Macaca fascicularis: one gene and its partners. The protein of the gene in region 1 interacts with the protein of each later gene in a biochemical or structural test. Links are inferred from orthologs where the notes say so. Each region holds a gene or a part of one and is shown in the gene's direction. Other genes may lie near its edges.

Region 1 (10,832 bases):
CCCACACATGTGGTCGCAGAAGTCTCCTGTGTTGATTGCTGTGGTGTGAGGGCAGAGGAAAAATTGGGTCTTTTTTTTTTTTTTTTTTAGACAGATTCTTGCTGTGTTGCCCAGGCTGGAGTGCAGTGGCGTGATCTCAGCTCACTGCAACACTCCCAGGTTTAAGCAATTCTTGTGCCTCACTCAGCCTCCTGAGTAGCTGGGACTACAGGTACCTGCCACCACAACTGGCCTTTTTTTTTTTTTTTCGAGATGGAGTCTAGCTCTGTCACCCAGGCTGGAGTGCAGTAGTGCGATCTCGATTCCCTGCAACCTCCACCTCCCGGGTTCAAGCGATTCTCCTGCCTCAGCCTCCCAAGTAGCTGGGATTACAGGCTCCTGCCACCACACCCAGCTAATTTTTGTATTTTTAGTAGAGTGGGGTTTCACTGTGTTGGCCATGCTGGTCTCGAACTCCTGACCTCGTGATCCGCCTGCCTCAGCCTTCCAAAGTGCTGGGATTACAAGCATGAGCCACCACGCCTGGCCAGAACTGGCTAATTTTTTGTATTTTAGTAGTGATGGGTTTCACCATGTTGCCCAGGGTGGTCTTGAACTCCTGAGCTCAGGCAATCCACTCTCCTGGGGCTCCTGAAGTGCTAGGATTACAGGCGTGAGCCACTGTACCCGGCCCGTTTTTTGTTTTTATTGAGACAGGGTGTCACTCTCATGTCGGAGCTGGAGTGCAGTGGCACAATCATGGCTCACCACAGCCTTGACCTCTGGGCTCTGCTGATTCTCCTGCCTCAGCCTTCCAAGTAGCTTGGACTAGAGGCCAAGTGTATGCTTGGACTAGAGGCATACACTACCATACCCGGCTAATTTTTTGTGTGTTTTTTGTAGAGACGGGGTTTCACCATGTTGCCCAGGCTGATCTTAAACTCCTGGGATCAAGTGATACAGCTGCCTTGGCCTCCCAAAGTGCTGGGGTTACAGGCATGAGCCGCCAAGCCCAGCCATGGTTTGTTTTCTCTACACGGTATGCTTTAAACGGAAAATAGCATTTAGAATGCATTCAGGAAGAATATCTATTGTTCGTGTAGGAAAAGTGCTAATGGAGGCATGCAGAGGCATGCAGACAATGTCATCAAGTCCTGGAGTGCTTTCCAGGCCTCTCTTCTGCCTTCTGCAATGTTAGGCTTCAATGTCAAGCTGCTTCCTTCAGTAGCACTAGAAGCAGCAACGAGGGCTGCATGCTTCCCTGCTCACTTCCAGAAATCCCTTCCTCCATACCATGCCCTATACCTCTTTTCATCTATATCCTTTGAAATACACTTTATGATAAACCAGTAAACGTTAAGTGCTTCCTTGAGCTGCCCAGCATTCTGAGCAAGAAAAGTGATTCCCACTAGCTGGTCCACTGAAGTCACATGCTTATATCCCTGATCCAATAACCAGAATCTGGAATAAAACCTGTTGATTAGTGTAAGTCAATTGGGACTCATTTCTGGACCTGGAATGGAGTCAGTTTCCTTCTCAAACCCTCAAAACTCTACGTGCTTTCAGAACTGGGAATAGGCCGGGCGCGGTGGCTCAAGCCTGTAATCCCAGCACTCTGGGAGGCCGAGGCGGGCGGATCACGAGGTCAGGAGATCGAGACCATCCTGGCTAACACGGTGAAACCCCGTCTCTACTAAAAAAATACAAAAAACTAGCTGGGCAAGGTGGCGGGCGCCTGTAGTCCCAGCTATTCGGGAGGCTGAGGCAGGAGAATGGCGTAAACCCGGGAGGCGGAGCTTGCAGTGAGCTGAGATCCGGCCACTGCACTCCAGCCCAGGCTACAGAGCGAGACTCCGTCTCAAAAAAAAAAAAAGAAAAAAAAAAAAAAGAACTGGGAATAAGGCTGGGCGCAGTGGCTCATGCCTGTAATCCAAGCACTTTGGGAGGCCAAGGTGGGCGGATCACCTGAGGTCAGAGTTTGAGACCAGCCTGACCAATGGGATGAAATCCCGTCTCTACTAAAAATACAAAAATCAGCTGGCGTGGTCACATGCGCCTGTAATCCCAGCTACTGGGGAGGCTGAGACAGGAGAATCGCTTGAACCCGGGAGGAGGAGGTTGTGGTGAGCCGATATGGCGCTATTGCACTCCAGCCTGGGCAACACAGCAAAACTTCGTCTCAAAAAACAAAAACAAACAAACAAACAAAAAAAGAAGTGGTATTTAATTAGGTCTTCATCAACCTAGGGATTTGGGGTTGTCAGCAACAGAAACTACTACAGAAACCGACTACTTAGACTGGAGAGACAGGTGGTCCCCTAAGGGAAAATAAGAGTGTTAGGAGAAAGGAGAAGAGTGCTGGACAGTACATACTTAACAAGTATCCACTGGTTATTTCATAGAAGACCCAGAAATGTATTTATTTACAGTAATGTATTCATTACCCAGTAATGAAATCTGAGGGTTAGGAAGAGCAGAAAAGAAGGGAGTGTGGCAGGAAGGAGGAAAAATCAAAGTGGGCCCAAACAACATGGCAGCTAACAGAGATCTTGCAAGGAAAGGTCTACTCGTGGAAAACTCCTCCCAGGAATGTCAGAACTTTTAATAACGACATAGTAATGACACAAGAATAAACACACAGCCAAATGAGCAAACAACAGAATACAAAGTCTAGACATAGACACAAGTAAATATGCTAACATTATATATCAAGGGCAGCATTTAAATTCTATTGGGGCAGTTTGTTTAACAAATGGTGTTGACATAACTGGCTCTCCATCGCGCAGAAGTTAGACCCCAGCTCATACATGTATAAGGATAAACTCCAGTTATATTAAAGATTTAATTTTTTTTATAAAAAGAAGAAGGCCAGGCGCGGTGGCTCACGCCTGTAATACCAGCATTTGGGGAAGCCCAGGCGGGTGGATCACCTGAGGACAGGAGTTCGAGACCAGATTGGCCAACATAGTGAAAACCCGTCTCTACCAAAAATACAAAAATTCCGGGCGCCTGTAATCCCAGCCACTCGGGTGGCTGAGGCACGAGAATCGCTTGAAACCGGGAGGCAGAGGTTGCAGCAAGCCGAGATAGCACCACTATACTCCAGCCTGGGCGACAGAGAGAGACTCTGTCTCAAAAAAGGAAAGGGGAGGGGAGGGGAGGGGAGGGGAGGGGAGGGGAGGAGAGGGGAGGGGAGGAGAGGGGAGGGGAGGGAAGGGGAGGGGAGGGGAGGGGAGAAGAGAAGGGGAGGGGAGGAGAGGGGAGGAGAGGGGAGGGGAGGGGAGGGGAGGGGAGGGGAGAAGAGAAGGGGAGGGGAGGGGAGGGAGGGGAGAAGAGGAGGGGAGGGGAGGGGAGGGAGGGGAGAAGAGAAGGGGAGGGGAGGAGAGGGGAGGGGAGGGGAGAAGAGGAGGGGAGGGGAGAAGAGGAGGGGAGGGGAGAAGAGGAGGGGAGGGGAGAAGAGGAGGGGAGGGGAGGGGAGGGGAGGGGAGGGGAGGGGAGGGGAGGGGAGGGGAAGGGAAGGGAAGTAAAGAAAAGAAAAAGGAAGATAATTCACTGGGGGAATGTGGGGAAACCTTCCTAAGCTGGAAGCCAAGCGTGCCTCTTCCGTTGGGTTCCCATTACTTACGTCACAGGACATCGAGCCAATGGGAACTAGGCATGGGCGACGAGCTCACCCAATGGGGCCGGGGCGGGAGATTTGAAAGGTCCTCGGCCAGGGCGTGGCGTGGCAGATTCAGTTGTTTGCGGGCGGCCGGGAGAGTAGCAGTACCTTGGACCTCAGGTGAGCTGGCCTCCTGTCGCAGGCCTTGCGCCAGGAGTGGGCAGATGATCAGGCAGATCAGAGGGTCCGTTGGGCTGGCCTGCGCGCACACTGCAGGGCTGGAAGGAGGTAGGGATGATAGCAGGGTGGGGGCGGTGAGACAAGCGCCCGGATTGGAGCTAGTGTGCTGACCTGCTCCCTTTTACCAGCTCGGGCTAGCGCTTCCGGCTTGATCGGTCCAACCCCTACCTCTCTCTCTCTCTTTTTCTCTGCTTCTCACGGCTGTTTCCCTTCTCGGCCCAGCTCTCCTCCCCCTTTCCCTCTAAGGATGGCCCAGAAGGAGAACGCCTACCCCTGGCCCTACGGCCGGCAGACGGTAAGGCCCTTCCCTCCTTCCCCGCGCCCACATGACCCCGCATGGCGAGTTCCTGCTGGGAAACTTGAGATCGTGCAAAGAGCAATCCCTTATGCACTTTCTTTCCCGTTATGCTCCAAAGTACGCGCCCCAAGTTTGATGACAGAACCTGGTCTGGGCATTTGTAGCCAGCCACATCCTGTTAGGTGCTGCCAACTTGAATCTGACCAGCCAGTGACTACCAGCCGGTGAGGGCCTCTGCAGGGTTCATCACACACAAGTGATATCTGGGACTGAGCAGGCAGGGCCTGGCCTTCAGGCCATGATTCCCAACCCATGTCCTGAAAAAAATAAACTAGACAGCAAATATAAATAGACTCTAAAAGGATATAAAGTTACTGTTTAAAAGGTCCAGGAAAAGTCTAAATTATAATTTGGAATTAATGAGTAAGTTGAGGTAAGGATCTCAATGAATCTAAATGGATTTATTTCCCAGTTGTCCAGACAGATTTCATTGAGGGGCCTCCTCTCTGATTTGAAATGCCACCTTTATTATATATATAAATTCCCACATATATGTGGGTCTATTTCTGGACTGTATTTTATTCAACTTGCTTATTTGTAGATCTGTACCAATATCACTATTTGGGAAGAGGTTTTTAGGGGCATAGGGGCTCTCTTCTCTTGGCTGAAGAAGAAGGAAGGGGCCCTGCATAGGCTTTGCTCCCTGTTTGTGGAGCTCGGGCTTCCTGGAGAATCTGCCTGTCCCCTTGTTCATCAGCTCCCTCCCTCACGGAGCAATGAGTGAGGCTGTCAGGAATGGAGTCTGAATGAGAAACCATTGTCACTTTTACCTTGGTCACTCCTAAAAGAAAGTGTATCTATTATTTTGAGAAGCTGAAAGTGAGGCCAGGTGCAGTGGCTCATACCTGTAATCGTGGGAGGCTGAGGCAGGTGGATCACCTGAGGTCAGGAGTTCAAGACCAGCCTGGCCAACATGGTGAAACCCTGTCTCTACTAAAAATACAAAAATTAGCCAGGCATGGTGGCGGACGCCTGTAATCCCAGCTACTCAGGAGGCTGAGGCAGAAGAATTGCCTGAACCTGGGAGGTGGAGGTTGCAGTGAGCCGAGATGGCGCCATTGCACTCCAGCCTGGGTAATAGAGCAAGACTCCATCTCAGAAGAAAAAAAAGAAGGTGAAAGTGAGAAGTGGTCCAGGGCCATCAGAGTAGCTCTTAGTGTCCTTAAAGGCTGTTCTTGCAAAGGTGTAACCCCTGGTTATTGCTATAACATTCAAGGCCTCAAGCTTCTTATCTAAGCCTTAATAAACTAAGCTTTTTGGGAGACTTTGAGAATACCTCTGTCTAAACCCCTTGAATTGTGGGTGTTCACAGTAGACACCCAGCTCTCTACTGTGGTGTAGGTGAGAGGCTAGATGAATGGCTGTGGTGTTATGGACAGGACTTATACAAGTTGAACAGCTTCATGCCTGAAAAGTGTGGGCCAGGGCCAAAGAGGTGAAATGTTAGGTGTTGGTGTGAGTCTTTTGCCCCTTATCTTAGGCCTACTTAGGTTATTTTTTAATTTTTTAATTTTTATTTTTTAGAGACAGAGTCTCACTCTGTCGCCCAGGCTGGAGTGCAGTGGCGCAATCTCAACTCACTGCAACCTCTGCCGCCCGGGCTCAAGCAATTCTCCTGCCTCAGCCTCTCAAGTAGCTGGGATTACAGGACCCGCACCCAGCTAATTTTTTTTTTTTTTTTTGAGACGAAGTCTAGCTCTGTCGCCCAGGCTAGAGTGCAATGGCACAATCTCGGCCCACTGCAACCTCTGCCTCCTAGGTTCAAGCGATTCTCCTGCCTCAGCCTCCTGAGTAGGTGGGATTACAGGCACTCGCCACCACGCCCAGCTAATTTTTGTATTTTTAGTAGAGTGGGGTTTCACTGTGTTGGCCATGCTGGTCTCGAACTCCTGACCTCGTGATCCGCCTGCCTCAGCCTTCCAAAGTGCTGGGATTACAAGCGTGACCCACCACACCCAGCCGCACTGGGCTAATTTTTTGTATTTTTAGTAGAGACGGGGTTTCACCATGTTGGCCAGGCTGGTCTTGAACTCCTGACTGCGTGAGCCACTGCGCCCGGCCCTAGGTTGTTTATGAATAACCCATTTTAACATGGGACTGTGAGCAGAGGCTGGGAGGCAAAACTGTCACATCAGTGTTTCTCTTTGAATTGGGGGTGGGCGGGTGGGTGGCTCTTTAGCAAGGGGCTGAAATACTGCTTGCAGCACATTCCACCCGGGTCATCAGACAAAGGCACCCTCAGAGCTACCCCCTGCTCCTTCTCAGGCTCCGTCTGGCCTGAGCACCCTGCCCCAGCGAGTCCTCCGGAAAGAGCCTGTCACCCCATCTGCACTTGTCCTCATGAGCCGCTCCAATGTCCAGCCCACAGGTACCTGGGGCAAGGGGGAGAGGACTGATGAGCGTCTATGGGAGGGTTTAGGGATGAGAAGGTCATCCCTGCTCTCATTCAACTTACCTGTTGTCTCCTTAGCTGCCCCTGGCCAGAAGGTGGTGGAGAACAGCAGTGGGACACCCAACATCTTAATGTAAGTGCCCCAAGCCTTGGGGTGGAGGGAGGTGAGGGGACAGTGAATGGGCAGGAAGTCGGGAAGATAAAACCTAAGGGCAGGAGGAGTAGAGATGAAGAGAAGTGGGGCGGGGGACAGGATGAGATGAGGAAGCGGAGAGAAAGCAAACCTCTTAATAACCAAAACCGGTTCTGAGTTGCCTTCCCCCACTTTCTAAGCAGGCGGCACTTCACAATTGATGACTTTGAGATTGGGCGTCCTCTGGGCAAAGGCAAGTTTGGAAACGTGTACTTGGCTCGGGAGAAGAAAAGCCATTTCATCGTGGCGCTCAAGGTCCTCTTCAAGTCCCAGATAGAGAAGGAGGGCGTGGAGCATCAGCTGCGCAGAGAGATCGAAATCCAGGCCCACCTGCAGTATGGGTTGATGCCCCCTGAGCCGAAGCCCCTCTGCTCCCTCACCCCAGCTCCTCACTCAGCCCTACCTCATCCAGATTGCGTTCTCTGTAGCTACGGCTAGTGAGCCCCATTTAGCCCTTAGTCCTGGCCAGAGCCTTGAATCCAGAAATCTGCCTCCAGTTTCCCCTTCCCACTCCCATTCCTGGTGTCCCCAGCCTGGGCCCCGTCTGACCCCAGTTTGCTCCTATTATCTTTCCCAGCTCTTTTATGCCTTTGGCCTGAGGCTTCCTCTGTCTCTTCCCTCAGCCATCCCAACATCCTGCGTCTTTACAACTATTTTTACGACCGGAGGAGGATCTACTTGATTCTAGAGTATGCGCCCCGCGGGGAGCTCTACAAGGAGCTGCAGAAGAGCCGCACATTTGACGAGCAGCGAACAGCCACGGTCCGGGCGGGTGGGCACCTGGGCCGCCAGTAGGGGGCTGGAGGCTGAGGGTGTGCTGCTTGTAGCTGGAGGTCCATCCTTGTCTGATTGCCTGTCGTTGCCCCTCCCAGATCATGGAGGAGTTGGCAGATGCTCTGATGTACTGCCACGGGAAGAAGGTGATTCACAGAGACATAAAGCCAGAGAATCTGCTCTTAGGGCTCAAGGGAGAGCTGAAGATTGCTGACTTTGGCTGGTCTGTGCATGCGCCCTCCCTGAGGTATGGTGGCCTGGGAGGCCAGCCCTGGGTGTGAGGCGGGGCCATTAAAACCTCTCCAGGGGCTGGGCGTGCTGGCTCACGCCTGTAATACCCGCACTTTGGGAGGCTGAGGCGGGCGGATCACCTGAGGTCAGGAGTTCGAAACTAGCTTTGCCAACATGCTGAAACCTTGTCTCTACTAAATATACAAAAATTAGCCGGGCATGGTGGCGGACACCAGTAATCCCAGCTACTCGGGAGGCTGAGGCGGGAGAATTGTTTGAACCTGGGAGGCGGAGGTTGCAGTGAGCCAAGATTGCGCCATTGCACTCCAGCCTGGACGGCAGAGTGAGACTCCTCTAAAAAAAAACAAACAAAATGGTTAGAATGTGGTGCTAAGAACCCCAAGGTCATGGGTTTGATCCCCGTATGAGCCAATGGTAAAACTTTAGCCAGGTGCGGTGGCTCACGCCTGCTAATCCCAGCACTTTGGGAGGCCAAGGCAGGTGGATCACTTGAGGCCAGGAGTTCAAGGCTAGCGGACTAGCCTGGCCAACATGGCGAAACCCCATCGTTACTAAAAATACAAAATGTATTAAGCAGACATGGAGGTGCACACTTGCAATCCCAGCTGTGCGGGAGGCTGAGACACGAGAATCACTTGAATCCGGGAGGCAAAGGTTGCAGTGAGCCAAGATCGCCCCCTTGCACTCCAGCCTGGACTCTGTCTCAAAAAAGCCCGGAGCAGTGGCCTTTTTTCCTCCCACATCATTTTTTAACGGTTTCATAGTATCACATAGTAGCTGATTTATTTAAGCAGAACATGCCTGATGGGCATTAGAGATGTCCCCAGTGAACTCCAAAATGAACTCCAAATGAACACTGCCCTCATAGCGGAGTATCTCATTAAGACATATCCTTCAGCGTGGAGTTGCTGGGGCTGTGTGCAGGCTTACCTCTGGGGCTTTCAGATATGTCATCACCCCAACCCCACCCCCACTCCAGTAACCCTGCCTGGCTGGACCTCTCCCCTGGTACCTCCCGTGGTCTTTTGGCTCCCTGCCATCAGGTAGCAGGGAAAGGAGAGTTCCTATGTCACTGGGACCCCTGCCCACGCCCCTTATCCCTCCCAGGAGGAAGACAATGTGTGGCACCCTGGACTACCTGCCCCCAGAGATGATTGAGGGGCGCACACACAACGAGAAGGTGGATCTGTGGTGCATTGGAGTGCTTTGCTATGAGTTGCTGGTGGGAAACCCACCATTTGAGAGCGCATCACACAACGAGACCTATCGGCGCATCGTCAAGGTGGGAGGGCGGCCTGGGCTTCGTGCCAGCTGCAGAGGCCAGGGGCTGGGGGGCTGGGGGTGGGCAGAGTGTATCCGCGTGGCCCTAAGTAACTCCAGACAGAATGGGTAGTCAAGGAAGATGTAGCCAGGGTGAAAGTAATGCAGCCCTTCCATCTCTTCACACCTGCAGGTGGACCTAAAGTTCCCCGCTTCTGTGCCCACGGGAGCCCAGGACCTCATCTCTAAACTGCTCAGGCATAACCCCTCGGAACGGCTGCCCCTGGCCCAGGTCTCAGCCCACCCCTGGGTCCGGGCCAACTCTCGGAGGGTGCTGCCTCCCTCTGCCCTTCAATCTGTTGCCTGATGGTCCCTGTCATTCACTGGGGTGTGTCTGTGTTTTGTATGTTTGTGTATGTATAGGGGAAAGAAGGGATCCTGAACTGTTCCCTTATCTGTCTTCTACCTCCTCCTTTGTTTAATAAAGGCTGAAGCTTTTTGTACTGATGAGTGTAGATGTTTCTAGGTGGAGGCTTTGCTGTGGAGGAAGCTGTTCCCTAGAAGGAGAGGTGGCTCACCCTGAGGAGCTGGGATGAGCATTGCTTTGCTATCCCTGGTAACACCCTACCCTCTCAGCTCTGACACCCACCTGGTCAGCTCCCAGCCACCCCCACCCCTACCCCCACTTTCACCTCTACCCTGTCTGTTCTTTCCATTGTTCTGACTCCCAGAGCCCGGGGGCACTGGGGGCCCTGGCTCCCCATTGCTACATTGGAACACCAGCCATCTCTGGCCACCTTCTTTCACCTCTCTCTTGGTTGTCCAACTTCTAGTTTTTCCTTTTCTGTTTCATTCTCTGCCCCTTTGCCAGCGTAGGAGCAGCTGAACAATTCTGTACCCTAGAAACTGTCTTTGATTCTTTTACTGCTCTGGTCAGGATCTAGTACAGGAGCCAATAGAAGCAGTAGTGATTCTGTCTTGTTCCTGACACAAGGTTTCACTGTCATGTATGATGCTTGCTGTAGGTTTTTGATAGATACCCTTTATCAGGTTAAATAGGGCCTATTTACTCCTAGTTTACTCAGTCTTAAAAAAAAAAAGTTAAGTCCAGATGCAGTGGCTCACGCCTGCAATCCCAGCACTTTCAGAGGCCGAGGCGGGCGGATCACGAGGTCAAGAGATCGAGACCATCCTGGCCAACATGGTGAAACCCCATCTCTACTAAAAATACAAAAATTAGCTGAGCATGGTGGTGCATGCCTATAATTCCAGCTACTCAGAAAGCTGAGGCAGGAGAATCTCTTGAACTGGGGAGGTGGAGGTTTCAGCGAGCCCAAATCGCACCAATGCACTCCAGCCTGGCGACAGAGCAGGACGGAGCCTCACCCTGTGGTGCAGGATGGAGTGCAGTGGCCTGATCTCGGCTCACTGCAACCTCCAACCTCCTCTCAGGTTCAAGCTATTCTCCTGCCTCAGCCTGCCGAGTAGCTGAGATTACAGGCCTGTAATTTACAGGCTATAATTAGAGCCTATAATTTTTAATATGGATATCCCTAGGTTTTTTTTTAAAGCCCTTCTACTGGATGGACATGCAGATTATTTCCAGTGCTTTGCACTGTGGCCAGTGTCTTTTGAGTGCCTCCTGTGCACCTTTGTGATGGTCTCTTGTTGTCCTCTAGGGGACATCTAAAGAAAGACATGGCAATGGTGAGTACAAGTATCTAGAGAAAGACATGGTAATGCTGGGTACACGCAGGTAAACGGTCTATAGACATCACCAAAA
Region 2 (10,727 bases), on another chromosome or scaffold:
AGAAAGAAAGAACCTAACCTTGGGGAAACATGATATCCACTGAGTACATGAAGTTTTCCATCAGCACACCTAGACTCAAATCCTATCTCTGCCAATCACTTGTGCACTCTACGTGGGTCACCTCTTCTCTCAGCGTCCTGCTTTTTTCATTGATAAAGTAAGCTTAATAGTATTACTATTCACACTGTAACAGGTGGATTAAATCATGTAACATATTATTTGTTTTATAGATGGCACATACGTATTTTATAGATAGCACATAATCAACAGATTTTTTCTTTCTTTCCCTGTTCTTTCTTAACACTGATGAAAGAAAAGAAAAACAATGTTTTCTTTTAATGCCTTCTTAGTATTGACTGCTCTCATCAATTCTGCATTCATGACAAACAACAAAGTCTAACTTAGATACATTAAACACAGAGAAAAGAACACTGAACATACAGGCAGAACCAGCTATGAATCCTATCTCTGCCCCTCACCATTCACTAAATGGATGTCTTAAAGACATCACTTACCAATTCTGATCTGCAGATCACTCCTCATATCATCTCTGCTAAGAGAGAAAATTATAAAATGCTACCAAAGTATGAGTGAGTTTTATGACTAGGTAGTAAAGAATAGGAAACCAGTGAATCAATAAACTCACAGTGTGGTGGTTTACAGACATTATCTGCATGGCAGCAGAATATACTTCCCTAGAAGTATCCCCATCTGGTCAGAGATGGCCTTTACTGCGATGGCCATCCTTGTCTAGTCTTACTTAGGTTTCAGTATTTTTGCAGAACTAGCATCCCTGGTGTACGAAAAATGTGATAAATGAGCTCTCTGTGCAGTCATCTACACCCTCTCTGAAGAGCATCTGGATTTTATTTATCCACATTAATAAAGAGAGCCCATTTGTTTGATGGAAAGAAGTAGGATTTCAAACTCATTTTCCTTAAGTTTTGCATGGTCTCAATCATCTGGCAATAGGAGAAATGTAAAGGAAAATAACAGTTATGTGTAAACAAAATTGACAAAGTTGCATCATAGGGAATATAGCTAACATCTGCATAAAAGGTTTATATATACTTTTAAGAGGGGTGTATAAAACCATAATTCATAAGAATAATAAAAAGTACAATTAATGCCATAAAATGAAACCCAAATAGAATTAAGAACAGCAAGTGAAGCAAATGGAAAAACACTGTAGCCCCCTAGTACTCAAAAACTATTAAACAATTATTCTTGAAATTTTAGCTTATTAAATAAGCAGTTAGACAATATACCCGATTAAATAAAGTATTAATTTTATATGCTTTGTGCCACTATATCCATTCCCTGAAGTCAATCCTAGTTTGTAAAAAGGTTACAAAATTATATCCAATAATACAAACACACATTTTTCTCCAGGTACTACCTTCTTTCTCTTCTTCCATTCACAGATAAACTTCTAAAAGAAGTTTCCATCCACTTTGTCTCCAACCTCTCCTCCTATTTACTCTAGTCAATATATTCCAATCTGGATTTTGACAAATTAATTCTGGCAAACCACCCCTTTCTTTTCCTAAATGTAAAACGTCATGTTTTAAACATGTTTCTTCCCTTAAACACCCTCTTATCACAATTTTCTCCTGGTTGTCCTCCTATTTTGCTCCTGGATGTCCTCCTATCATTTCATTGAAATGCCCTTTTCAGGTTCCTCACTCTGTTCACTACATTAAGATGTAAAGGTCCTCAAGATTCAGGTTTTGGTCTTCTGATTCACTACACAATTTCTGCCAGACCTCATCCATCCTTGGGCTTTCAGGAAAAAAGTATAGCCCAGCTCCCAAATGAACATCTCTAGCCATGCACTCTGTAAATTCCAGAACTGTGCATCCAATTTTCAAGGCTTAAAATCCTCCAGTTTCTGGTGATAAAAACCACTTTACTTTTGCCTATGGTGTCAGTTTATGATACAGTTGAAATTAATTGGTTGATTAATAATTTTCTTTCTCTCTCGGCAAAAAGTTTCAAGAGGGCTGAAGCTGTGTTTCCTTTATTCACTTTTCTATCCTGAAAACAGTCACATATCAAGTGTTCCATACAGTGTGAATGGAATGAATGAACTCAACTTCACTTGAGGCTGCAAAATCAAACTTGGCATTGATTTATTGAGTAAGGCCAGGTATGGTGGCTTATGCCAGTAATCCCAGCAGTGTGGGAGGCTGAGATGGGAGGATTGCTTGAGGCTAGGAGTTCGAGGCTGTAGTGAGCTATGATCCTGCCACTGCACTCCAGCTTAGGTGACACAGCAAGACCTTGTGTGTGTGTGTGTGTGTGTGTGTGTGTGTGTGTGTTTAACAAACAAATGCAAAAAGATCTGAAAGTAAAACTTGAAATAATAAAGAGAATAATTTTCAAAATATAAAGTGAGGAGCTGGGCGTGGTGGCTCACGCCTGAAATCCCAGCACTTTGGGAGGCTGAGGCGGATGGATCACGAGGTGAGGAGTTTGAGAGCAGCCTGGCCAGCATGGTGAAACTCCATCTTTACTAAAAATACAAAAAATTAGCCAGGCACAGTGGCGCACACCTGTAGTCCCAGTTACTCAGGAGGCTAAGGCAGGAGAACTGCTTGAACCTGGGAGGCGGAGGTTGCAGTGAGCCGAGATGGCACGACTGTACTCCAGCCTGGGTGACAGAGCGAGACTCCATCAAAACAAAACAAAACAAACAAACAAACAAAAATATATAAACGGAACACTTTTTAATGTAATTAGCACAGTGTTAAAGGTGAACATTTCATATAAGCAAAAATACTGAATACAATAAATGTAGTAGACTCAATAACTAAGTACATAGGTAAATTAATAATATCATCCATGGTGAGCTAATGCCCCTAAGGACTGGATGCTTTATCATATAGACATTACCAACAAGTATTGTGACAAATTTGATTCAATCATTTCATTATGCAGGCAAAAAAGACAGTCTTTTAAAATAACTAAACATATGGGAATACAATGAAGAGTCTCTATACAGTAATAATTTCATTATTATTACTGTATAGGAACAAGTCTGTTCCTAAGCTATTAATCTTACTTGCAAGTTTGATGAAAAAGAGAAGGATCTCATGATTTCTTGCTCCAACTTCCCAGGTACAGAGTCTCTATTCTTTCTTTTCCAGATAGAGACTGATTCCTTGGAAGTAGCTCTTCACAGCATTATGGAGTTGTCATGCCCCAAGAGAGCCCTTCCACCCCTAACTCATGCAACAAGTAGGGCTCCAGGACTTCCCAATGCTGACAAAATTTCAGTGAATAATTTCTCCAGGCCAGTTTCATTCCAACCAACCTCTTGTGTTGAATAGGTTGACAATCTGCTGGAGCACCTTGTGGAGGTCAGTGGTAGTCTAAGCCTTCTGAATTTTGCTGCCATCCATCGGAAACAATAGAAAACATTCAAAACAGATGAACTGTCCATCAATCGGGCACTGGTTAAATAACTTATAACAACTCCGAGGGCAACAATAGAATTGTTTAAAAATATAAATAAGCTCTCTATAGTAATTCAGGAAGATCTTGAAGTGAAAAAAGAAAAATGCAGAACAGTGTACATGGTATGCTATCTTTTACATAAAAATGAGGAGAGTGTAATAAAAACATGACTATTCTTACTTTGCACACGCTTAAAGAACTAGAAGGACTTAAAAGACATAAACTTCAAAATTTGGAAAATGGAAGAAACTGTGTCAAAGTATACATTGATTTGTATGTCAAAATTTAAATTTACCACTAATTAAAGAAATGTAAATTAATAAAATACTTAAAAAGGGAAAAGTCAGCAGAAGGGAAAGGCACAAACATTGCTCATGATAATATTTTGGAAATACTGTCTTGGATCAGCATTTTACTAAATATTATCCATAACAGGGCTAAAATTTTGCTACCAGATTCTGTAAATTTACTACTCCATTGTTTTTCTATAAAACAATGGAGGATAAGAAGGTACATATTCAGGAACAAACAATGGGCAAAGGAAACTATAGTATGTTATTGAAAAATTATGTAGCCATTTTTAAAATTATGGAAAACAAAGGCATTTCAAGCCAAAAATTTAGACTGTATCATTTATATAATAAAGTAACAATCTAGTAGAGACAAATATTTTGCCTTTGAAATTATAACAAATTTGAAAATACGAACCAAAATTGTAACTAAGGTATCTATTACATAATGTGGGATAACAATTATTGTTTTGTAGAGGAAAAAAAAAATTAAGCATCCAGGTTTCCTCTCAATTTATACAAAAGCCGCGTTTCACTGTTATTCAAAAAAACAGAAACTAGGAATTGCAAAGTTTTAAAAAATGTATGCATTTGGGGAACGTAAGAGCTCAGATATGTGAAAAACTTACATCAAACATGCAGCATAATATACGTGCACACATTCTGTTCTATTTTGTCCCACATACAAGGCAGATCTAAGGAGCCGGGCTCGCGCCCACTCCAGACAGCTCGTCTTCCTCAACCCCCGCCCTCCCCGCCTCCCGCACACTTCCTCCCCCTTCCCCACCCCCACACGCCCGCCCACTGACGAGCTCTGGAGGCCGCGCAGCCGCAGTAGCCGCTACGGCCGCTCCCACCCCGCGGGATCCTGGGAGTAAGCTTTTCCGGAAGGAGCGGCTCGGCGTCGGGGCTAGGCCGGTATTCTAGGCCCAAGCCCAGTCCCAGGCCTGTGTTCCAGGTCCTTGCTCAAAGACAGGTCGGTGGCCGCTGCGACACTCTAGGTACAGCGGAGGGCGCAGCGGGCCGTTCGCTGAGGTTCCCGGACCCGCCGCCGAGCGGGCCGTGGAGCCACAGTACGTGGCGGCGCCTCTTCGTTGCCCGAAGCGGAACTGCTGAAGGAGCGGCAGCGCAGGCCGGACGAGGTGAACCGGGTCATTTAACCGCCTTCAGGTGATGAATCATCTGTCTAATAATCAGATTTGAGGTCCACAGCCCTTTGTGGTCCTGCTACAGGGCGATTTTCAGTGGATGACTGACTGGCGTGGCCTGAGGGGTGCCGCAGTGGCTGCCTTCCCTTGATAAGGAAACGAGCTTTCTGTTCTTTGTGGACACCTCGTTGCCTGTAAAACATTCCGGTTATAACTTCTTTCTCCGGCTTGCATCTCTGTGCAAGAGGAAAGCTTTCACATGAAAGTGTCCCTTGGTAACGGCGAAATGGGCGTCTCTGCCCATTTGCAGCCTTGTAAGGCAGGAACCACACGCTTTTTTACCAGCAATACACACAGTTCGGTGGTACTGCAAGGCTTTGATCAGCTTAGAATAGAAGGATTGCTTTGTGATGTGACTCTGGTACCAGGTGATGGAGATGAAATCTTCCCTGTTCACAGAGCTATGATGGCGTCTGCTAGTGATTATTTCAAAGCTATGTTCACAGGTGGAATGAAAGAACAAGATCTGATGTGCATTAAGCTTCATGGGGTGAACAAGGTTGGTCTGAAGAAAATCATTGATTTTATTTATACTGCAAAACTTTCTCTTAATATGGACAATCTTCAGGACACACTTGAAGCTGCTAGTTTTTTACAAATATTACCCGTTTTGGATTTCTGTAAAGTATTTCTTATATCAGGAGTCTCTTTAGATAACTGTGTTGAGGTTGGACGAATTGCTAACACCTACAATCTCATAGAAGTGGATAAATATGTTAATAACTTCATCCTGAAGAACTTTCCTGCTTTATTGAGTACTGGGGAGTTTCTAAAACTCCCTTTTGAACGGCTTGCCTTTGTGCTTTCCAGTAATAGTCTTAAGCACTGTACCGAACTCGAACTCTTTAAGGCAGCCTGTCGCTGGCTAAGGTTGGAAGACCCTCGGATGGATTATGCTGCAAAATTAATGAAGAATATTCGATTCCCACTGATGACACCACAGGATCTCATCAATTACGTGCAGACAGTAGATTTCATGAGAACAGACAATACCTGCGTGAATTTGCTTTTGGAAGCCAGCAATTACCAAATGATGCCATATATGCAGCCAGTGATGCAGTCAGATAGAACTGCCATTCGATCTGACTCCACTCACTTGGTTACATTAGGAGGAGTTTTGAGGCAGCAGCTGGTTGTCAGTAAAGAATTACGAATGTATGATGAAAGGGCACAAGAATGGAGATCTTTAGCCCCGATGGATGCTCCCCGTTACCAGCATGGTATTGCTGTCATTGGAAACTTTCTTTATGTAGTTGGTGGTCAAAGTAATTATGATACAAAAGGAAAAACTGCTGTTGATACAGTTTTCAGATTTGATCCTCGGTATAATAAATGGATGCAGGTTGCATCATTAAATGAAAAGCGTACATTCTTTCACTTGAGTGCCCTCAAAGGACATTTGTATGCAGTTGGTGGGCGCAGTGCAGCTGGTGAACTGGCCACAGTAGAATGTTACAACCCAAGAATGAATGAGTGGAGCTATGTTGCAAAAATGAGTGAACCCCACTATGGCCATGCTGGAACAGTATATGGAGGCTTAATGTATATTTCAGGAGGAATTACCCATGACACTTTCCAAAATGAGCTTATGTGTTTTGACCCAGATACAGATAAGTGGATGCAAAAGGCTCCAATGACTACAGTCAGAGGTCTGCATTGCATGTGTACGGTTGGAGATAAGCTCTATGTCATTGGCGGCAATCACTTCAGAGGAACAAGTGATTATGATGATGTTCTAAGCTGTGAATACTATTCACCAACCCTTGACCAGTGGACCCCAATTGCCGCCATGTTAAGAGGCCAAAGTGATGTTGGAGTTGCCGTCTTTGAAAATAAAATCTACGTTGTTGGTGGATATTCTTGGAATAATCGTTGTATGGTAGAAATTGTCCAGAAATATGACCCAGAAAAAGATGAGTGGCATAAAGTTTTTGATCTTCCAGAGTCACTTGGTGGCATTCGAGCTTGTACACTCACAGTTTTTCCACCTGAAGAAAACCCTGGGTCACCTTCTAGAGAATCACCTCTTTCAGCACCTTCAGATCATTCTTAGGTCTAAGGTGTAACACCTTTGCAGTACATCATGGGTGATCTAATACTTCTTCAGTTGTATCTTCTTACAGTGATTGGTACAGTTATTAGATATAAAGGTAATTGATGTTATTCGTCTTGTTTGGCTTTTAGTATGTTTATCAAGTGACTAACAAATGCATTCTGAAGATGTATTTAACATAGCTAGCTGTTTTAACAAATGAGAAAAAAAGATGTAGAAAAATGTTTAGATGTCTTTTTGTGATGTTATATAAAATTGTAGATGACTGTGGTAAATGTGTAATTATGTCCATTATGCTTCAAAGTCGAGTTTTCATCTTTGACTCCAAAATGTCAGAGGGAGGTCACTGTAACCTAAAATTAACGAAAGGTTGCCCAGTATTAATACTAGTTACCTCCCTCTTTTCATAGTTTTTGATATGTCTGTCAACTTACTCGATTGTGTGGTTGCATTCAGAATATTTGAAGTTTCTTACGCAGACAGAAATAATAAAAATACTAATTAGGAAAAAACAGTATAGCACCAAACCAGTATTTGGTATCTCTCTCTAGAGTGAGCAAGAGAGGGAGAAAGGAGAAAAAAATACACAATACAAACATACATCCCTACGCACATACATACATATGTATACACACACATAATTTAAAAATTGGCACTTCAACGATGCTGAAATTGTTTTTAAATTGAAGTTTCTTTCTTCCACAAAGCAGCCGTTTCTATTCAAATGGGAATTCAATACCAGAGAATAAATGTTTATATAGTCATACTGAATTTAGATGAGGGCTACAGCATACTAAATCAACAACCAAATTTGTCATGTGACAAAACCATTACTTCATATGAAGCTTACGTTAGTTTTTTCTACTTGTATAGTTTCTGTAGAGTACTTTTACACAGATTGGTAAAGTTCAGGTTTCAGAGAATTGTTTTTGTGCAGAAAATTTAGGTTCTTTTTTCCACCTTTTTTGGTCAGTAAAACTTAATGAAAAAAGCAAAGAAAAAAATATTCTGAACAAAGCTATAGAGTTTTAAGTTCAGCCTCCCAACTTAGTCATTTGCGATTTGGGGTGATTGCCCTGGTGCTGTTCCAGTCCATGTGCATCCTGAGCTGTGTGAGCTGCCTCAAGGCTATGATCTGAGCAAGCAGGAGATACATTTTCTTCTGCATCAAGTGAGGAAAAATGTGCTTTTGGCCATGTCTCAAGGACAGGACCAACTTCAGATTCCCTAAGAAGCCAGCTACAGAGCCTCTGGAACATTATGGTCTTATGAGCAGTACTAATAGCAACCTCCAGCCTCTTCAATACCAAGGGTATCCCTACTGGTTGAGAACCACATGATAGTTTTTAATGGGACTTTTATCAGCAAATGGAGTTACAGGAATTCTCTGTAATGATTCTGAAGAGGTACTTGTCTGGAATAATTGTCTACCTGAAGAAAAAAATTTTATATATACATATGTGTATGTACACACACACACAAACACCCCTATACCTGGAAGATTGTCAGAGTGTAAATCAGGAACAACTTTATTGACAATCCCATAATAAAACTCAGGAACCAAGGCAAAATGAATTGGCTTCTAGGGGTCTGAACCTTACTGCCCATACAAGTGTTGATTCATTTTAATGCTTTTTATGATTTCTGCATTGGCAGAAATGTTCATATTTTATATTTTTTTTTAATGACTCAGTTTTTTATTACTAAAAATAGCACATTTGAGTACATTTGAAAAATATAGAAATTAGAAATTAACTTTATTGAATAAGCAAGAAGTGCATCCTAATCCTTTCTTGATTATTAATGAGGTTGAATATTTGTGTATTATGGATAGCTGTGTTTCTTTGATCAAATATTCCTGTCCTTTTGCCCTTCTGTTACCTGTTGGAGTTGCTTTGTTTTTCGTATCAAGTTATAGGATCTCTTTATATAATAAATGTAATTTAACTTGCATTTGCTTGCATTTATTTCTTCCCTCAATCTATTGTAGTTTTACAATGGCAACGCTGTTAATTTTTGAGATCAAATTTGTCTTTTTCTTTTTTTTTTTTTTTGAGACAGGGTCTCACTCTGTTGTCCAGTTTGGAGTGCAGTGGCACGACCTGTGCTCACTGAAACCTCTGCCTCCCATGTTCAGGTGGTTCTCCTGCCTCAGCCTCCCGAGTAGCTGGGATTACAGGCATGTACCACCACGCCCGGCTAATGTTGTATTTTTAGTAGAGATGGGGTTAGGGGATAAATTTGATATGGTTTATTTTTAATGTAGTATTTCAGTGCTTATTCTGACCTACCAAAGTGGTACTGCCCTGCTTCTATTTTGTACAAGCTTTTCCTTTTATTGAAACAAAATACTTTTTATTACGTCTTATGTCTGACCCTGGTGCTTCCTATTGAAATAAGTATTGCTTTACCAGGTAAACTGCTCTATCTATATCCCCCACCTCCAGCTTCACACACCCTGCCTCTCATTCGTTTACTTTCCCATATTCTGCAGTTGACAGTTCTCTTGGTATCATGCAGGTAGCTGACTAATGCTATGCTAATACAGGTTGAGCAGCCCTAATCCAAAAATCCAAAATGCTCCAAAATTTAAAACTTTTTGAGGGCTAACAGGATGCCTGCCACAAGTAGAAAATTCCACACCAGACCTCATGTGACAGGTTATACTCAAAACACAGTGAAGACTTCTTTGTTTCATGCACAACATTATTAAGCATATTATATATAATTACCTTCAGACTATGTGTATAAAACATATGTGATATATAACTGAAGTTTTAAGTAATATTGTTTAGACTTGGGTCCCTCCCCCAGGATACATCATGTACATGCAAATATTCCAAAATCCAAAACACTTCTAGTCCCAAGCATTTCAGATAAGGGATATTCAACTTGTACTGCTCATTAAACCTGGAGTTCGTTATAGAGAGAAATTTTAGGTGGTTGAAATGATTAAGTAGAGATTTATTTTCATAAGCTGGTAATTTTTTAAAGAAAGTTCAGACTGGAAAAATATTTAGAGGATAAAAACTAAAAGCACATAAAGCACTCTTAACATTTCTTGTTTTAGTTTTTCTGGTAAGTATTCAAAAATTAACATTTGCTAGCTTTTTTGGTATGTCTGTTATAGAAAGTACAGGAAAATAAAAGCAAACAAAAAGTAATTATCAGTGATTCCACATGCTGAAGATAATTTCTATTAATACTGAGTATATTATATATATATATACACATACATATGTGCAGGCATTTGTCAAATATTTTTCAAATATGCCAGACCTTAGGCTAAAAGCTGGATAATGAAAACAAATCCACCTTCCAAAGACACAGACTCCTATTATGACTTTATCTTATTTTTTAAAAGCTGTATAAAAAAATTGTAAGGTGGCCGGGCGCAGTGGCTCAAGCCTGTAATCCCAGCACTTTGGGAGGCTGAGACGGGCGGATCACGAGGTCAGGAGATCAAGACCATCCTGGCTAACACGGTGAAACCCCATCTCTACTAAAAAATACAAAAAAAAAAACTAGCCCGGCGAGGTGGCGGGCGCCTGTAGTCCCAGCTACTCCGGAGGCTGAGGCAGGAGAATGGCGTAAACCCGGGAGGCGGAGCTTGCAGTGAGCTGAGATCCGGCCACTGCACTCCAGCCTGGGCGACAGAGCCAGACTCCCTCTCAAAAAAAAAAAAAAAAAAAAAAAATTGTAAGGTGTTTTTTTTCT
Region 3 (10,847 bases), on another chromosome or scaffold:
ATCACCTCACCAACTCATCTTTTTTTTTTTGTGGGAGGAGAGAATTTTAAAAATCTATTCTGGCAGTTTTGAAATATACACTATTAGCTGCGGTCACTATGCCATGCAATAGGTCACTAAAACTTATTCTCCAGTCTAACTGAAACTTTGGACCCTTTGATCAACATCTTCACTTTCCCCATGCTTCCTACTCCTTCCCCTGCCTCTGATAACCACTTTTCTACTTTCTGTTTCTATGAGATTGACTTTTTTAGATTCCACATATGAGTGAGATCATACAGTATTGTCTATGTCTGGCTTATTTCACTTAGCATAATTTCCTCCAATTCTTTCCACGTTGTCATGGATGCAAATGACAGAATTTCTTTTTTTAAGGTTGTATAGTATTTAATTGTGTATATATACTACATTTTCTTTATCCATTCATTCATCGATGGATTATTAGATTGCTTCCATGTTTTGACTACTAAACTACTATGAATAATGCTGAAATAAACACTGGAGTGCAGATATCTCTTTAACATACTGATTTCAATTCCTTTGAATATATACCCAGAGCGGGGAAAAGGATCTGAACAGACATTTCTCAAAAGAAGAGATACAAATCGCCAATAAATATATTTAAAAATGTTGAAAATCTCTAATCATCAAGGGAAATGCGAATTAAAACCACGGTGAAATATTACCTCACAGCTGTCAGAATGGCTATTATAGAAAGGATGAATAACAGGTATTGATGTGGATGTGGAGAATGTTGGTGGCAATGTAAATTGGTGTACTCACTATGGAAAGAAGTATTGTTTTTGAATATTTGTTGAAAATCACTTGCCCATATATGTTGTGGGTCTGCTTATGGACTCTATTCTGTTTCATTGATCAATACTACACTGTCTTGAATATTGTAGCTTTACAGTAAAAATTGAAATCAGGTAGTATTATCCCCCTAATGCTCTTTTTAAAAGTTGTTTTGGCTATTTTAGTCCATTTCCATATGAACTTTAGAATCAGCTTGTTGATTTCTACAGAAAAAGCCAGCTAGGACTTTGATCGGGGTTGTGCTGTAACTATAGATCAATTAGGAGTGAATTGACATCTTAATGATATCAATTCTTCTGCCCTATGAATACAGTATATCTCTACATTTATTCAAGCCTAAAGTTTTCAGGACAGGTCTTGCACCTCTTTAGTCAGATTTATCTCTAACTTCTAAAGCAAGACCCTTCTGTGTATGCTACCCAAAGCCCTGTGAGGGTTTTTTAAAAAATAGATTCCATTCAATAATAGGTTCCATTCAATAATTGATGAGATAAGTGTTTTGAAGAAACGCAAATTTACCAGAGAGACAAAATGTATCCTAAATAGTTTTCAATTTGTTATTTAATCAGAGTTAATGCAGTTGAAATCTTTTAGTTTCACATTAGGCACACAGCAAGCTTGCAAATGCTTTTAGACTGATTAGAGATCAGCTACCAGCTCTGTGCACTTTGGGGGTGTGCGTGTGTGTGTGTGTGTGTGTGTTTGTATGTATGTTATGTGTGTGCCCACATCTGCCTGTATGGTCTGTTAGTTAATTTTTATAATTGTATAATTAATTGGTGCTGTCAAATATTTGGGGCATGGTAGGCAGAATTCTAAGATGGTCCCAAGATTCTTGTCTCCTGTTATACATTCTCCACTTCGGTGTGGTTGAGACCTGTGAATATGCTGGGCTATCACTCTTGTGATTAGGTTATATTATGTGGCAAAGATGAAGAGATTTTGCAGATGTAATCAAGGCACACAGTTAATTTTTGAATTAATCAAAAGGGTGATAATCTTGGGAGGGCCTGACTTAATCTGGTAAAAGACCTTAAAAGAGGCACTAGACCCCTCCTGAGAAGAAAGAAGTTTTTCTGTTGGCCTTGGCTAAGCAGAACAACCATGTTGTCAACTGCTAATGGAGAGGGGCTGCCTCTAAAGCCAGTAAATGCTACGGGTCTTAATTCTGTAACTGCAAGGAACTGAATTTGGCCAACAATCTGAATGAGTTTGGAAGAAGATTCTGAGCTCCACATGAGGACACAGCCCAGCCAAAAGCTTGATTGCAGCCTTGTGAGACCCTGAGCAGTGCACCCAGCTAAACCATACCTGGACTCCTGACACATGGAAACAGATAATTAATGTGTGTGTTTTTAGCAACGAACAATAACGAAGTCAGCGGATACTCTAGCTGGCATTTGAAATGCTCCCCATTGTATTCATTTGCTAGACCTGCCATAACAAAGTGTAACCCCATGGACTGGGTAACTTAAACAACATAAATTTATTTCCTTGTAATTCTAGAAGATCAAGGTGTTGGTAGGTTTGGTTTCTTCTGAAGCGCCTCCTTGTCTTGCAAATGGCTGCCTTCTCACTGCATCCTCACATGGTCTTTCCTCTGTGTGCATATATGTCTAAGTCCTAAACTCTTCTTAAAAGGACAGCAGTCATATTGGATTCGGGCCCATCTTAGAGACATCACTTTAACTGAATTACCTCTTTAAAGACCTTTTCTCCAAATACAACTTACTCTCCCATAGGTTATCTTATTTGAAACCCTAAACAATGCTGTGGGGCATATCAGACCAGTATTATTTTACTCCCCACTGGAAATTTGGGAAAACACTCTCAGAGCACTAACTTAATGTCACATAGCACATAAATTGTCTTCTGACTCCAAGTCTAGTGCTCTATCCAGTAGATTAAGTATTCAGATAAAGCACCTGAACCCAAACAAACAGCAATGGACTTCTATTGGATAAGTATATTTGTAATATCTTACTGCCAGTTCTTTTTTTTTCTTCTCCTTCTCCTTCTCCTTCTCCTTCTTCTTCTTCTTTTTTAACTGAGAATCTGTGCAAGTTACTGGTAGTTCAAATGCAGATCCTGTAGTTGCCCCCATCTCAACAACCTTGCTATAAGGGTTTTCTCTTTGTGTAGATAAGGCCTGCTTGGCCACACTGGATTGTCCCATTTTTACTGGCCTTTCTGTGGGAGAAACTTATTATAAACTAACCCCACTTGAACCTTTTAATGGCAGGATAAAGCAGTGACTCGAGTGTACACCAGCTCAGTTTGTACTTTTTTTTTTTAAACTTATGTGCCAGGTTTTTGATACATGCTAAAAGTGATTGCTTGAAATATATCACCTCAGTCAGATTGTAAACTTCTGTAAAAGGTGCTTTCTACCTAATGAGCATTTAGTGTGTAAGGTAGCTGTACAATAATTATTGAATAAGCATAGTGGAGAAGCCAATGGATGCATTCCTGTTAACAAAGGGGAATTGGGTTCAATACACTTGCAGGTAAAAGGTAATAATGCAAATTCTATGTATATTTGGAGTTCTTTGAATATTTGGTAAAGTCCAACAATGTGGTATTATCTTTAGTTCTAGCAAGTTTTTGAGTAGCTGATTATTCTCAAATTTACCTAAAACCTTCTACTAGAATTTCAGTGTATGTAAGTTGAAATACAAAGTCAGCAATGTTGAAGATCTCAGATCCCAGAGGGAGAAATCCTAGAAAACATAAAGATTCCACACTCACCGCATCACTTCCTTAAAAAAAAACCAAAAAACAGCCAAAGAAAAAAATCACAACAGTGATTAAACTGGTTGCTAAGAGCAAACTCCCTTTATTTTCCCAAGGAGGAGTCTGGAATTATAAGTAGAAAGGCAAGGAAGGGCAAAGGAAGAGGTGTAAGAAGGTGGCCCCAGGCTGTAACCGTCAAGAAGGCAAAGAATGAATAGAAGACAAGCAAGGGGAAAAACAGGCTTGACGGGGGTTTTTGTTGGGGGCTAGGCTGATAGAACAGAATCAAGATTCTGACTTAGAAGAGCAGTCCCACCAGAGTTGGGAAGCAGGTCGCATAGTTAAGAGCCTGGGTGCCAGAATCACACCGCTTGGGATCCTGAGTCCCGCTCTGTCACTATTTACGTAACCTCTGGCAACTTGCTTAACCTATACACCTCAGTTTTGTCACTTGTAAAATGGAGACAATAGTGTGTAACTTACAGAGTAGCTGTGAATTAGGTAAGTTGAAGCTTCAGTACTTGGTTCATAGCAGACGCTCAGTAAAATGTTAAATGGTTATTTGTAGTTTTTATCCTTCCTCTTTCTTAATGTTGTGTACTGCAGCAGGGAGGGGGAGGGATGAAGCGCTTATCCCACTAGAAGAGTGGTATTTGTGTGAGAGCCTGGGTCAGGCTTATTTTGAGACGTGGGCCCCACTGAGGTGAGGTGGCACTGCTTCCAGAGCACACCCTTTGCCGGGGCCCTGCCGTGACTATGAGGAGGCCGAGGCCACGGCTGGCAGAATGCACGGGTGGACCTCCTTGGAGTGGCTAACCCAGGGCGGCTGCACTGTTGTCCTTGGATACTTGACACTTTTCACTTTCTCTGCCTCCCGGCACTAGAAGCCATGTGGGCTCACACCCGACCCTCCCGGGTTCGGAGGCGTGAGGGCCACTTAGCGGTCATTCAGCTTCAGGGTCCAGCCCTGTCAAGCTTTGGCTACAGCCCGGGAGTTCCGTTGGGACCCCACACACTGTCCTAGCCACAGCTCCCCGCCACCCTGCCTCCCGCGCAGGCGCCGCCGGGGCCACCCCCGCCGCCATGTTTCCCCCGCCCGCGCGCTCCCTCCCCCCACTGCCCCCTCCCTCCCCAACTGGGTTCCCGCCCCCCCTCCCTCAGCAGTCCCCCCCACACCCTGGTGAGGTCAGGCGGAGGCTCTGCCGCTGCGGCCGCAGTAGCTCAGCTCCTATTCCCGGGAAGCCTGGAACGGGGAGTTTTGAAAATAACTGGAGCGGCATTCGGGTTAGGGTCCGTGCTCTCCGCTTGCGCCAGGACAGGGTGAAGTGGCCGGGACTAGCAGAGGGTGCGAAGGTGCGGGTGCTGGTGCCTCGCAGCAGGAGGGAGCCCCGGCTGCGCCGCGAGACTCCCTCTTTGGCCCTCGGAGCGCAGCACCCGGCGGACAAGCGGCGCGACGCCAGGACGCGGCGAGCAAGGTGAGGCAGGGTCCCGAAGTCACAGGGGCTCCATCAGCCGCTTCCCTGCCTCCGGACCTGGCGCTGCGCGGTGCGCGGCGAGGAGTTGCGATCTGTACCAGGGGCAGAGGAGTAGAGGAGCAGGGAACCAGCTTCGTTTTGCCCGCCGCCCCCTCTTTTTCTCCCGCGTGCTGGTGCGCGCCCTCATCCTTACACCTTCGCATCCCGTTCTCCCGGTCCTTCTGGCTCCGTCGGACGCCTGGGTTTTTCTAGGACCCCAGAAGCCGGCTTTCCTGTGCTTCTTTGTCATCTCTCCAAGATTTTCTTCTCTGGGCCTCGCTGTTGCTGCCCTGACGGTCTGGGGTCCCTCTGCCCGCCCCGGCCCCACTGTCTCTTGCCCTCTAACAGTTTCTGCTTTGTGCCTCCTAATCCATCTCTTCCTTCAGAAGCTTCTTACTTAGGAGGCTCCTCTCCTGGCTCCCAAGTCAGGAGCACACTCCTCTTCTTCCTCGAAGCTTTTAACTTCGCTCTGAATGTCTTCAGCTCTGAATATTTTGACTTTTTTTTTTTGTTTGCTTGTTTAATCACAGTTGACTAATGATTTTCGTGGAGGCTTATAGTCTAGGCTACAGTTTACTGAAAGTGATGAGATCATCCCTTCACTAAATAGCCTTAGTAAATATCAACTAGGGAACTTTAAAGTTTCTTTCTAGGTTTCATTAACTTAGCCCAAGAACAATAGTCACTTAAAATGTATGTATATATGTTTGTACGCAATTTTCGTACATGGTCCTAAATCTGATTATTCCCTGGCTGCTGAACAGGCCTGAGAGAGAGGATTGGTGGGGCTTGTGATGCCTGGCTCCATTTCTCTAATTGTAAACTGGGATGTTCATCGTTTTAATGTAGTCAGAGGACTTTAGTGGTTTGGGATAAAGTCGTTCAAGTTAGCATAGGCTGGCAACTAAGCACATTGAATGGAGACTAAGAAACGCTGGAATTTAAAACTGTCTCTGGAGAGCACCTGCTTTTTAAAAAATTTATTATTTTTTTGAAGCCACAGTTTCTTAACAGTAGATTTCATATTTGTATAAACCGTCTAAAAGCAGCGTATTTTAAAACCACGTAGTTACAAAAAAGACTACTCACTCTTAGGGATATCACTTTCTCCCCATGTAGTTGTGGTGTTAGCTCCCATACTGAGGTTCATTTGCTCACTTCCATACTGCAATTAGTGTGTGAAGAAAACTGAATGGAGAAGCACACAGTGGAGGCAAATACCAGTGAACAAGCACATGCTGACATATGCAGCTGTGTTTTTGGAAATAGGCTGTATCTAGTGTTCAAATTTAAAAACTGAGAAAAATGAAATAATTCAGCATTTATGACATCATTTTACATCTAAAAATATTAGCTCCCTTAACTGCAAGTTCTTATTAATAGCCTCATACTTAACGGTAAAAGAGTTGTTTGCCTGATGTGTGACCTAGTGTTGCCATTGACACAGTGTGCACTAATTGGCAGCAATCTCAGAAGAAACCAGGTTGTGAATGAAGATAATGGCTAAATTTCACTGTCCCGGTGGCACTTCTTATGGCAGTGAGATGAGAGTAGTTTCTGCTGCAACATCAAATGATGTATTTAAAAAACAGATAAATAAGAGCTTCAATTATTAAAAAGCCCAAGGTTTTTAATTTGCCATTTTTATAAACACACTTCAAAAAGTGTCGTGTGATTATATAAGGCTTAGTTGATGTTCTGAAGAAAGTAGTTTTCACAAGAAAAGTAAAGCCTATTGCTTATCCATTTAGTTAGATAACTTGCAGATGATTTGTAGTTTCCCAATTGATTTGGTAAATTCCTGGGTTTACTTGAGGTTTATTAAAAAATGGAATGTAGTAGGGAAAGGGTACTTATTCTAATAGGCCCACCTTTCTAAATCTGTAATTTTCTTAGCAAACCATTCTCAAAAGACATAAAAACTTACAACTTTTTCAAGGAAAAGAGTTTATACTATTTTCTTACTTTTTTCTTTTCATGATTGTTATTGATACAAAATCTAAGCTAAGATTGCTAGTAATGTGATTGCATAGTAAGACTGTATTTGCCAGGAAAAGAATAAAGGTGGATGTGAATTAGCCATAAACATTTTGCTCTGAATCTTCAATATGACTCAATATGTGTTTGATAGTCCATCTGGTACACCTAGAGATTATCAGACTGGATATTTCTGTTATTACTAAATGTAACTGCACTTATTTATTGGATTATCTTCTTTCTCATTTTATTTACATTTCACATTCTCTTCATGTAATTTGACTTGCGGTAGTGAAATGAGACTGACCAATTTTCAAATTGTTTGATTTTTATTGATGTTTGGTAAGCCACTAAAACCTCTTGAAAATATTTTTTTCTTAAATCCACTGATTGAAACCGATGTATTTTTATTGCTATGAAATAATACAACAAATTTCCAGGAATTATTTCAGAAAATGTGGAAAGACTGTAGAGAAATGAATAGCCCTAGAGAAAATATCTCAAAATTATAAGAACGGCTTTCTCAAGTTACTGATATTCATAACAATCAGTTTTTTTTGTATCATTCATTCATTTACTAATTCATTTTACAAAATCTATTTGGTACTTGTGTGCCAAGGCCCTGTATTAGGCACAATGATAAACCTCATAAAGCATGATCTTTGCTCTTGTGGAGTATCACAGTGCTTATATTCTACCAGAGAATATAGACAATAAACAAGCAAACAAATGAAGAAGATCCTTATAGACTGTAGTAACAGCAATGACAATAAGTAGGGGAATATGATACAGATAACTAGGAAGGGCCTATTTTAGTGTCGGAAGTCAGGAAAGGCCTCTCAGAGAAGATGATTGAGCAGAGACCTGAAAGAGAAGAGAGAATAGGCCTACCTTGTCAGAATCTGGGAGAACATTCCCCAGATAACATTCTTGCAGAGAGAAGAGTAAGAGCCAAGGCCTTGAGGGGGGAAAAAGAGACTTGGCGTTTTTGAAGAGCAGAAAGCAAGTCAGCATGACTGGATCCTCGTGAGCTGGTAGTGATTAAAGAAGATGTTACAGAGCCTAGAAGCAGCTCAATAACAGATAAATAGGACTTGGAGGTCCTGAGAAAGAATTTGGGTTTGATTCTTAGAACAATAGGAAGCCACTGAAGAGTCTTTCCTGGGGAAGGTCATTGGCTTAAAAAAATTATCCAAGGAAATTAAAAAAAAGTTTTGCAGAGGATAAATAGAATGTCTACTCACTCAGTCATTTATATTAATACCTGAGAATAAAAAAAAACTGTATGATCAATATGCTAAATAATCATGTAATCCAGTTCCTCTACTCTGTTTTGGTAAGGGGATGGGGGAATGGGAACACTGAGGTGAGTATGTTAAAAGGCAGTTTACTTTCCACTGTCACATTGTGACTTGTGCTACAAGGTAAGTTGTCACCAACTTTATTAAAAATCAGATCATTGTTCAACTTCAGAATTTATTTTTCAAAGAATGATGTCTTATTTTCTCATGGAAATATGTTTCCTTTGGAAGGTTGGACATTTTATTTGTGTGTAAAGGAATAACCTAGGTTTTAGAAAGGGCCTTTGGAATTTTAAGAAGGGCTTATCATTTTCTTTTACCTGTTGCCTCTCCAACATTTTCAAATGGCCATACTTTTATTCCTTGAGAGATTAGGGCTACTGTGTTTCCTGAAGCTTCAATGAATTTATTGCCCTAAGCCCTTCCTTGAAAGCAATCCAGCTTTGAGGTCTAGTTGGTCCCAAATAGGAATGCAGATGATTATTGACATTCCACAGGAGTAAATCCTAATATTGTGGGGGAATAACATGCAAAATAACCTTGATCAGTGCCTGCAGGGTCAACTTCCTCCTTAACTGAGCCACTCAAGCAAGGATCCTCCATGATTTGATCCCAGCCTACTTTCCCATATGTCCTTATTATTCTCTTTCACAAATCTCTATTGGTTTAAACTGATTTTCCCCAGTTTGGAACTTTTGTGCTTAGCATTATTCCTGGCATAGAGTAGGTGCACAGTAGGTGCTTGTCAAATGGATGCCATGTCTTTCTTTTTTGTCATTTGGAATCCCAGGTCCTATTACACTATTCCTCATTGAACTAGATCTCCCCATCTGAAGGTGAACAGCACTTGCCCTGTTGTGTCATAATTATGCTTATTTTGGTGCCTGACCATCTCCCCACTTGCCTCTGGCTTCATGAAGGCCACCTAGACCTTATCTGGTTCGCTCACTGTTGTATTCTGAGCACCCAGCACATGGTATGCACTTTATAAATAGTTATTGAATAATGAATAAATGCTGTCTTGTGATGTTTCTCCTATTAATTTTTTGATATACTTTTCATGTGTTTGTCTGGTGTTCTGAAGTGGTTTCTGAGAGAGGTTGTAGAGCATACTTGTTCAGAGTTCAAGCTCTGGAACTAGGCCACCTAGGTTTCAATTCCAGCTAGGAGACTTAATAGTTGTGGGACACTGGGTGAGTTAGTAAACCTCTCTGTACCTCAGTTATCTTATATGTAAAAAAGGGATAATAGAACTTGCCTCTTATGGTACTTGCTAAGATTACATGAATTAGCTAGGCCCACTTTTTCTTTTTCTTTCTTTCTTTCTTTCTTTTTTTTTTTTTTTGTTGTTGAGACGGAGTCTGGCTCTGTTGCCCAGGCTGGAGTGCAGTGGCATGATCCCGGCTCACTGCAACCTCTGCCTCCCGGGTTCAAGCGATTCTCCTACCTCAGCCTCCCGAGTAGCTGGGACTGCAGGTGCGTGCCACCACACCAGGCTAATTTTTTGTATTTTTAGTAGAGACGGGGTTTCACCATGTTAGTGATGATGATCTCGATCTCCTGACCTCGTGATCCACCCGCCTCGGCCTCCCAAAGTGTTGAGATTACAGGCGTGAGCCACTGCTCCTGGCCTAACTTTTTATTTTTAGTAGAGACGGGTTTCACCGTGTTGGCGAGGCTGGTCTCAAACTCTTGACCTCAGGTGGTCCACCCATCTTGGGCTCCCAAAGTGCTGGGATTGCAGGCGTGAGCCACCTCCCCTGGCCTAGGCCCACAATTTGTTTGCAATTTTTAAATTTCAAAAGCTCTGAAAACTGATAAAAATGTTATTTGGTAACTTAGATGCCAAAACTCATGTGGTGGCAAAACCTGACTTAAACTGGCATAGGGTATTTATAGTCTTTATTCTACTTAATGTTGATCTTTATTTTGTTTTGCTATAGAATTGCTAATATGTTTATGGGGTTGCACCATAGACCCTAATGGTGTATTACATAACATATGGTATATGAAGTTTATTTCCTGTCTAAAGCTTTGGACATTCCTAAATTCAGAAACACATCTGGCACCAAGATTTTAAAATGAGATTGTACACCTTGCAGTAAACTGCTTAAATCAGGGCCTTGCACATAGTATGTTGTTGCTGTGGGTGGTGATTAGGGAGGTAAATAAACTACTTTATCTTTCCACAATAGCTTGCTCATAATAGTTACCATGTAAATATGTACTGATTGACTCATGCAGTAACTCTGTGAATAGAGGACTCGCTGAATGGTCCTCATGTCATAGGGAAATAGATATGGCAGGGTCATGTAATTGAAATGAGCCAAGACTCGTCTGTTGGTACTCTCATCTCATACCATTCAGAGCACTTTACTTTTTGTTTTTCTGTTGTTATTTAAACCAAACTATGCTTCTTTAGCACAAGAGAGTCTGTGGGGGCGAGGGTAAGAAATTCAGTTAAGAATTTATTTAATGTGATTAGACACTTATTTTTTTTTTTGTA

The links.
Region 2: the proteins of AURKB (region 1) and KLHL9 form a complex in vitro, tested with the Homo sapiens proteins (2 studies listed by BioGRID and IntAct, with this or other methods). The link is inferred for Macaca fascicularis from reciprocal best matches to the Homo sapiens genes AURKB and KLHL9.
Region 3: of the proteins of AURKB (region 1) and KLHL13, one has a biochemical effect on the other in vitro, tested with the Homo sapiens proteins (2 studies listed by BioGRID and IntAct, with this or other methods). The link is inferred for Macaca fascicularis from reciprocal best matches to the Homo sapiens genes AURKB and KLHL13.

The regions. Positions count from the first base shown.
Region 1 is NC_088390.1:8,284,073-8,294,904, reverse strand, and holds AURKB (aurora kinase B), read left to right. Parts: upstream 1-3,714; 5' UTR 3,715-3,760; intron 3,761-4,042; 5' UTR 4,043-4,067; coding exon 4,068-4,115; intron 4,116-6,382; exon of another isoform or gene 6,383-6,443; coding exon 6,444-6,546; intron 6,547-6,648; coding exon 6,649-6,703; intron 6,704-6,903; coding exon 6,904-7,098; intron 7,099-7,386; coding exon 7,387-7,525; coding exon of another isoform or gene 7,526-7,535; intron 7,536-7,635; coding exon 7,636-7,784; intron 7,785-8,896; coding exon 8,897-9,071; intron 9,072-9,242; coding exon 9,243-9,416; 3' UTR 9,417-9,552; downstream 9,553-10,832. UniProt on the Homo sapiens protein: Serine/threonine-protein kinase component of the chromosomal passenger complex (CPC), a complex that acts as a key regulator of mitosis.
Region 2 is NC_088389.1:77,606,112-77,616,838, forward strand, and holds the start of KLHL9 (kelch-like protein 9), read left to right. Parts: upstream 1-4,611; 5' UTR 4,612-5,156; coding exon 5,157-7,010; 3' UTR 7,011-7,107; intron 7,108-9,071; exon of another isoform or gene 9,072-10,727.
Region 3 is NC_088395.1:124,446,237-124,457,083, reverse strand, and holds the start of KLHL13 (kelch-like protein 13), read left to right. Parts: upstream 1-4,731; 5' UTR 4,732-5,024; intron 5,025-10,847. UniProt on the Homo sapiens protein: Substrate-specific adapter of a BCR (BTB-CUL3-RBX1) E3 ubiquitin-protein ligase complex required for mitotic progression and cytokinesis.